Linked DNA regions of Callithrix jacchus. The protein of the gene in region 2 binds, or shares a complex with, the protein of the main gene of each other region. Links are inferred from orthologs where the notes say so. Each region holds a gene or a part of one and is shown on either strand. Other genes may lie near its edges. The genes, in order: TENT5A and BCCIP.

The links.
Region 1: the proteins of BCCIP (region 2) and TENT5A are in contact, whole or in part, in a crystal structure (PDB 8EXE), measured with the Homo sapiens proteins. The link is inferred for Callithrix jacchus from reciprocal best matches to the Homo sapiens genes BCCIP and TENT5A. Residues at the interface, in NP_510868.1 of Homo sapiens: Val57, Asn58, Ile59, Glu60, Phe61, Glu62, Ala63, Tyr64, Ser65, Leu66, Gln146, Val149, Leu150, Phe152, Cys153, Glu154, Lys155, Asn156, Cys157, Glu158, Lys159, Glu163, Lys167, Leu203, Ala204, Ala206, Thr225; in NP_060103.2 of Homo sapiens: Arg87, Gly88, Asp139, Glu151, Gln155, Lys158, Lys184, Glu185, Val188, Gln189, Lys190, Met191, Val192, Lys193, Val194, Cys195, Asn196, Asp199, Trp201, Asn213, Arg289, Lys295, Glu331, Arg334, Gln341, Asn342, His343.

What each region holds. Positions count from the first base shown.
Region 1 is NC_133505.1:87,246,508-87,251,072, forward strand, and holds the start of TENT5A (terminal nucleotidyltransferase 5A), read right to left. Parts: upstream 2,965-4,565; 5' UTR 2,677-2,964; coding exon 2,657-2,676; intron 2,481-2,656; coding exon 1,892-2,480; intron 778-1,891; coding exon 1-777.
Region 2 is NC_133513.1:119,138,747-119,142,552, reverse strand, and holds part of BCCIP (BRCA2 and CDKN1A-interacting protein), read right to left. Parts: intron 3,344-3,806; coding exon 3,254-3,343; intron 2,495-3,253; coding exon 2,307-2,494; intron 1-2,306. UniProt on the Homo sapiens protein: During interphase, required for microtubule organizing and anchoring activities. During mitosis, required for the organization and stabilization of the spindle pole.

The DNA.
Region 1 (4,565 bases), on a different chromosome or scaffold from region 2:
TTAATTGCAGGGTAGCCAAGTGGAGTAGGTCTGTTGCTGGCATGTGAATACTGGCTGAACCTGTGCAATGTAGTAATTGCTAAAGTTGGCATCTGCTACATAGGGGGCTGGCTGGTAATAGCAAGTGACATTAGCCACATTAGGAATGACATTTTGGTCAGCTAATACCCGGATAGCCAGCATGGTGATAAGATTTAAAGTCTGTCTTCTTTCATGTCCCATCAGGCACACTGTGCTCTCATTCACCACTCCATGAAGAGTCATGAGATACTCATACTTGCGGTCTTCCAGTCCCACAAAGTGGTTCTGCAAATAGGACTCCAGTTTTCTCTGCTGCTCTCCAATGTCTGAGAAGTCGATGAAAAACCTGGAACACATATACCTCTGAAGGGTCTTGATCTCATCAGAGGCGGGCCTAAAGCCCCTCACCAAGAGGTTGCAGTACTTAAGCAGGCCTCCCCCTCGGATTTCCTCTGGGTTCCTGGTGGCAATGATCTTGTTACAAAGGTGATCAAAGGCTTCCTGGAAATCTCCATAGACGCTCTCCCCGATTATTGTGGGGTGAAATGTCTCAGTCATTGGGTTCTCTGAACATTCGTAAAAGAGCAGAAGAGAGTCTAATTTGATTTGAAAAGAATCTACACTGAATTCAAACTGCCTCCGGAGGGAATCCACAAATTTCAGTTCCACATTTTTGCCACTGTTGTTTGACAGGGATATAAGACTCCATCGGTCAGAGTCATTGCACACTTTAACCATTTTCTGCACATAAGCTTCCTACAATTTAAAAGATAAAACAAAATGAGCAAACCTAGAAAACAATAATAAATTAATAAATAAATAAATCCATCCTCCTCACAGCTGAGAATGATTTTGCTCTTTCCCTTTTGTTTTGTCAAGTTTCAGCCAAACACTATCTACAGGCGTAAACGATCTTCTGAAAATAGAAAAAAAAAAAATACTTTTAACGAGTAGTTTTACTGTCTGGGAAAGGCACTAGAGGTAATAGTTTGAGGCTTTTGGCAGACGTAGCACAGTAGTAAGAGGTTCTGTTGTCATGTCTGACTTTTAAGTGTTACTTTTTGAAAATGGTCTAATAGGCACAATATTCACACAGTATCCAAACAACATTCAAAACTCAGGAAGGCATTCAGCTGTAGGTTAGTCAGCCTCTCACCCTTGTTCCAAGCCACCCAATCCCTCTACGCCCGCGGCAATCAATGTTATCAGTATCTTGTGTGCTCCTCCAGGGGTACTCTGCAGTTACAATCAAATATAAACTAAATTACGACGTTCTGGGAGCCTGCCTCCTCAAACAATTTTGACTTATCATATAAAACCCGTCTTGAACTAAAGTGGAGGGTGGGTAGGGGCTACCACTATACCCTTAACATATGAACCAGCACGGAGAACCACAAGATAGACCTTTAACACAGAGTCAGCTGAGTACTGCTATGAAATCTATTCACCTTTTCCAGTACAATAAAAAAAACTCATTGACTCACTTCTGCTTCAGGCTGCTCTTTTCCCAAGGACTGGATCATAACTCAAAACATTATTTACATCATTTCATTCTGCCGAGTATCAAAATCTACTCTGGACAAGACCCCAACAGGGAAAGTCAAGAGTTAAAACATAAGGAAAAGGAAGAAAGGTAGGGCAGAGGAGGACGTTGGAGAAGAGTTGTAGCGCCGAAGCATCAAGTAAACTGAAACACTCAACACCGTCCACACACGTAAGTTTACTCATTTAAAAAAAATCAAAGAAATACGCGCGCCCAAACCCGTGATGGCCACAGATTCATGGCATTTAACCGATGTCCCTCTGCCCGCTCCCCGTCGCACCCGGTCCAGCCGGGTCAGGACCCAAGTGCATCTCGGGTAGTTTTTACCTTGAGCGTGAGTGGTGTGATCTTCTCTTTGTTCACCCCTTCGGGTAAGAAGTCCAACAGGCAGTCCAGCACGACGTCCTTCACAGTCTGAAACTCCCCTTCCCCGCGCAGGTCTGCGCAGAAGATGAGGTCCAGGTCCTTGTAGCCCAGGCCGCTGTCCTGGTGCAGGACGTGGCTGGCGGCCGAGCCGTTGAGGCGCACGTCGCGGACGCCGATGCGCTTCTCCGCCAGACGCCGCCGCACCACCTTCACAATCAGGCTCGGCTGCAGCTCGAGCGTGGGGAAGTTGCCGCGCCCGTGGATCGGAATGGTCTCGCTCAGGATGCCGTCCAGCCGCTGCACTTGCTCCCAGTTCAGGACGTTGCAGTGCGCCGTGGGGCTTTCGCAATAGTCCAAGCAGTGCTCATCGAAGCTGCTGCCGCCGCCGAAGCCACTACCGCCGAATTCTGCGCTGCCGAAGTCGCCGCCGCCGAAGTCGCCGCCTAGGGGAATGTAGGGGCCGCAGGCCAGCTCGTCCTCGGCCATGGCAAAGTACCCTTCGCCCTCCGCCATGTAGTGCCCACCGAGCGCCACTTGGCCCTGGTCAGTCCTAAAAGGAAGGGGAAAGGAGCGGTAAGGACACCGCGGCGGAGGGCAGCGGCCCGCCAGGAAAAGAGCGCCCCCTCCACCGATCTCTCCCTGACCCGGGGGCTCCTGGGAGACTCTCCCTCCCCGGGCCTTTATAATCCCCAGCCGCGCCCCGCGCCCCGCAGAGCAGCCCCGCACCAAAAGTATCTCTGATGCATCTGGAAAGCACAAGCGAGAGTCCCGTCTGTGTCACCTGGAGGCGGCCGCCCCTTCTAGGAGCGCAGCGAGCAAGAGAGAAACCGCGAGGCGGAAACAATTCCAGGAGCTGCGATTGCGCTCCGGCAGCGACTAGCGACTTAAGTCTTTCCCAGACCCCTGCCGCCTGCGCTCACCACTCCCTCCCCGCGCCCCCTCCCGCGCCGCTGCCGCCCCAGCTGCTGTGGTCCCGAAGGTGGCGGCTCTTGCTGCCGCACACGATTGTGTCTCTGGAGCTTTAGCAGTTGTGCGGGGGAAAACGTCTTCAGTACTTTTTTTATACCGGGCTTTTCTGCGCTTCCGGGGCCCCGGAGCGGCACGCTCGCCACACCCTCCTCATCTGCATAGGGCACCGCCTCCTGCCCCCCGCCCTCCCCGCCCGCCAGGCGCGCAGCGGACTTGCCCAGCCGGCCTGGTTGCGGGTCGACCTCCAGAGAGTGCGAGGCCCCGGGCTGTATGTGTATACGTGTGTGCGCCTATAGCTATGCGTGTATTTATACATACATTTGATTTAAGTACGCCCCCTCCCACATATCTTTTCTCCCATGAGGAAACACATTAAATGCCTCAGGAGTCATAATTGGTCATCAAAACCAGATCACGACTAAAATTCTGCAACTGCAGAAACTTTCTAAAATTTTCGCGGATACTGCCCGTCATTATATCTTCACGGCTGAGATTCGGAGGTTTCTCACGGAGGTTCCTCACGAACTCTCTTAAATGTCGATTTCTAGCTGAGACCATTTACTCCATTGACAAACTCGATCCAAGCGTGGACTCCTGAGTCCACTCGTGCACGCAAATCAGTCACGGCTGCGCGAGTGGGAAGGGCTTGTTGATAACCGGATTTCGATTCTCGAAACCTCGGCAGGCGCGCCAGGGAGCTCCTGGCTAGCAAGAGAAGGCGCGGGGGCGACACCCCAGGCCGCGGGCGTGCGCGGCTCCTGCACAGGAGTGGCTCCCGAGGAACCGGGTGCGCGGCGGGGGCCGGGGGGCGTCACGGAGCGGAGAGCAGCCAATCGCAGAGGACGGGGCGGGCCGAGTGCGGTGCCGAGAGCGCGCACGGGGAGTGCGCAGGGCCCCGGAGTCGGGGGAAAGGGCTACTTGCTGTTGAGCGCTTTGCTGCGCGTTCTTTTTTAGAAAACCCGAAGCGGCGAAGTGTCTTCCTCGCGGCCCGCTAAGGTTTGGCAGTTTTAAGTGCATCATTGTGTCCGTGGAATACTATTTGGTTTCCCATGAGAGGTAAAAGGAGTTTCAGGAATAAAACGAATTCTCCCCTACAGCTTCAGTTACTTCGACAGAGTTAAGGGTTCTCCCCACGCTCACTCGCGCCACCACCACTGTCTTTGCTAGAAAGCTGTGGCCATCTCTTCTGGCCGCTCACAGCCTCCGTCACCTAACCCTGAGCAGCTTTCCCAGCGCCTAGACGCTGCCGGGGGTTAAAGTAGGGCAAAGGGGGGAAATGCCAGGGTCACAGAATACTCCCTAAACCCTGCTCAGCCCTGCCCTCCCAGCCTGGGAAGAAAAACAGCCCGCACCTCCGAACTGGGGGAGTTCCGGCCTAATCACTGAAGCTGCGGGGCTTGGAGATGAGAGGTGGGGTGCTGGGGGGGTGTCACTCGTGGAGCATCCAGCTGCGGGACGACGCCGCCCCCTGCTGGTGTCCTGCCGAGCTGCGTCCCAAAATGGAGAAACCCGACTGGCCCCATGGCAAAGGCCGTCCTCTCAGCGCTGCACCTAAGCACTGAGGTGCGCCTGCGGACTCCAGGACCACTAACCTGTCCTCAGGGGCCATCGCTTCCTTCAGAGCACACCGATGTGGTCCCCGACCGGCCTTCTGTGCATGAATCTA
Region 2 (3,806 bases):
CCTGTGACGACTACAGTCTCTTAATTGCTAGAGTCTGAAACTAACTTCTGACATACTGCAGCAACTGCAAACACATACCCTAAATTCTAGCAATGGAATGGCAATGAAACCTTAATGTTTCTTCTTTCTGAATATTAAACATAGTCTTGTGCATCTGGATGCCCTCGAACAAAAGAAGAAACTCAGAACAACCCTCTTCTTCAGCTTTCCCTTTTTTTTTTTCTTTTTTTTGGAGACAAAATCTCAGTCTGTTGCCCAGGCTGCTGTTGCCCAGGCTGCAGCGTACAATGGCGCAATCTCAGCTCACTGCAACCTCCACCTCCCACGTTCAAACGATTTTCATGCCTCAGCCTCCCAAGTAGCTGAGATTACAGGCCTGCACAACCATGCCCAGCTAATTTTTTTTTTTTTTGGTAATTTTAGAATTGGGGTTTTGCCATGTTGGCCAACCTGGTCTCAAACTCCTAGCCTCAAGCAATCTGCTAGCCTCAGCCTCCCAAAGTGCTGGAATTACAGGTGTGAGCCACCACACCTGGCCTACCCCCACCAACCACCTTTTTTTTTTTTTTTTTTTTTTTTTTTAAAGAGACAGGGTCTTGTAATGTTGCCCGGGCTGGAGTGCAGTCGGTATTCACAGGCACAGTCATCACACACTGCAGCTTGGAACTCCTGGCCTCAAGCTTTCCTCCCGAGTAGCTGGGACTACAGGTATGTGCTACTGTGGTTGGCTCTCCAGTGGTGCGATCCCGGCTCACTGCAACCTCTGCCTCCCGGGTTCAAATGATTCTCCCTGCCTCAGCCTCCTGAGTAGCTGGGATTACAGGAACCTGCCACCATGCCTGGCTAATTTTTGTATTTTTTTTAGTAGAGACAGGGTTTCACCATGTTGGCCAGGCTGGTCTCAAACTCCTGACCTCAGGTGATCCACCCGCCTTAGCATCCCAAAGTGCTGGGATTAGAGTGTGAGCCAGTATGCCTCACTTCAACTTTCTTTTAACAAAACTAGGAGAAAGCAAATCACCCTTCTATAAAAGCAAATAAACGTGAGCTTCAGCTGATCAGGAAAAAAAAAAAAACACTTAAGGCACCAGAAACACAATCTGAGCTGCAGCTGAGAGAACAGGGAGCAGGAGGTAAGCAGCACTGAATCCCTAGGAAAAACAGCAAACCTAAAGGTTTCCAGAGTAGAACTGTATTCCTACGGCTATTTAAAGGGAAACCACAACACAAGTGCTGTGACTTCTGAGAAAGAATATTCTATCAAGAAGCTGTCAGGCCAGGTGTGGTGGCTCACGCCTATAATCCCAGCACTTTGGGAGGCCAAGGCGGGCAGATCACAAGGTCAGGAGTTTGAGACCAGGCTGGCCAATGTAGTGAAACCCCATCTCTACTAAAAATACAAAAAATTAGCTGAGCATGGTGATGGCTGCCTGTAATCCTAGCTACTCGGAAGGCTGAGGTAGGAGAATTGCTTGAACCTGGAGGGCGGAGGTTGCAGTGAGCCGAGATTGCGTTATCACATTCCAGCCCAAGTGACAGAGCAAGACTTCAACTCCAAAAAAAAGAGGAACCTGTTTAGGCCAAGAGCTGCGACTGACACCTGTAATCCCAACACTGGGGGGCCAAGGCAGGAAGATCACTTTAGCCTAGGAGTTCAAGACCAGCCTGGGCAACATGGCAAGACCCTGTCTCTACCCAAAAAAAAAAAAAAAAATTACATAGATGGAAATAAATAAGTGAATCTGCCTATATTATGCCCTCCATTGCAAAGCACAAGCAATACAATTCTTACTACACTCAGTCTGCTAGATTTCGCGGCTACATTTGAAATATTTTTGTAATCTTAAAACTCCTGCATTAAAAAAACAGAACAACAAAAAACCCTGAAAAACTAGACACAGTATCAGGACTATGGTTTCCTTAGTTATGAAACACACCAAGAGAATTTGGGAATTTTACCAGTTTTGTTATTGTTGTAATTGTTCAGCATTTGTGTTGCAGAAAGCTGTATGTAAAGGTGTAAAACTTCAATCAAATGGGGATTGAAAAGTCTACATGAAATTATCTACTTAGATACCACTTAAATCTTAAGTTTAAAGATGGTTAAGATTATTGACACAAACTCTTTAAAAAGCCAGTTAATAATGTATGCACTTCACAGGAGGCTTCTTCCACTTCTCTCACACTAAACCCACTTAACCCAAGGACAGAGCTCCTTATTTATCTACATATTCTACTTAAATGACATTTCTGAATCTACTTTGGAAAAAAATTACTGTTCAAAGGCATTTTCCTAAGTCTCTTACTGAAGCTGCTGGTACATGGGCAGAGCGATCTGTGGAGGGACGTTAATGAATCTTTCACTTAGGAGAAGGCCCACAGCCTTGGTGGTGTCATTTAAAAGCTTGTCCAGCTGTTCAACCATGCTCTTTTCACAGTTCTTCTCACAGAAGCTTAGAATCAACTCTTTAATTTGTTCAGCACACTGAGTACCCTAGAAAGCAAAGAGAAAGTTTGTTTTCTATTACAGCCAACCACTTACAGGAGAAAACCTGAAAGTGAGAGCTATCACTTTTCATCTTACAGCTAAGGGCAGTTTGCTGCCACAGCCTTTAGCATCTTGTACGTCTTCAGTGTTGATCGCTTAAGTATTTCTTAAAAGCAAACACACTGGTTACTTACCATCCCATGATCAGTGGTAAGAAGGTCATAATTAACATTCAGACACACTGGAATAGCAACTCTAGTCCACCTCATAAAGATAGATGGAAGTAGCTGGAAAGTTCATTTCAAAATGAAAGATTAAGTGTAGCCTGCATCTTATTCCGAGGAGGGTAAGCAGCTGATTTACTTTTATTACAACTCATTAGTCAATAAAAACCGATGAAGCAAAACAAAATAAAATGTCAGTAAGTGCCCTCAACTTTGAAGCAACAAAGCCTCAGAATATCCCCACCACACAAGTAGTAAAGATAACAGCTGCAGAGACACAGTACCAACAGCTCCTGCATCAGTACCAACATCAGGACTGCCAAACCAGATGATTCCCTAAACCACAGGGAGTAAACAACTTTAACTGGGTACAGATTATTCAAAACACCATCACCTTCATATTGAAAATGGATTATAATAACAGCACTTATCCCTCTCGTTAATATCATCATCTGACATAAAAGATATATCCACCATGCATTAAATAGAAGTGGTTTTGGCCTAAGAAATAACCATTGAGATGTCACCCCGTGAAACCAACCTTTCTTTCAGTTAAATTCAAAAGGCTTATGAAACCAAAAATCTCATCTTCATCCACATCATCATCGCTGTCTTCTGAAACATTCGTTTGCTATTTTAAAAGAAAAAATATTTTAATTTTATATTTAGTTGAGTATAATACCAAGTCTTGGGATGTAGGCCTCATTTATCTTTTCACTTTTCAAAAGCAAAACTCTGTTTTACCGCCGTCATCTTAGAAAGCATTATATTTTAAATACTGTCACAGTTTTACCACTATCATCTTGGAAAGCACTGTATCTTAAATACTGTATGACCTTGTTCAGTTCACTTTACCTCCCTCGACTCTGTTCCTCTTTTTAGATTCTGGAAAGATTGAAACTTCTCTGTACCAGATTCTTAAGTCATTTTCTTTTACCAGATTCTCAATATAAAATGAATCCAGAAGAGATAAAACCTCAGAAATAAAGCACTTTCATTGGTTTTCTAAACAATTTGGCTGGAGCCAAGCCTTGCCTCCCTGCTGGCTCACAGCATTGTTTCATCTAAAAATCGCGTGTTTCGAGAGCACTTGT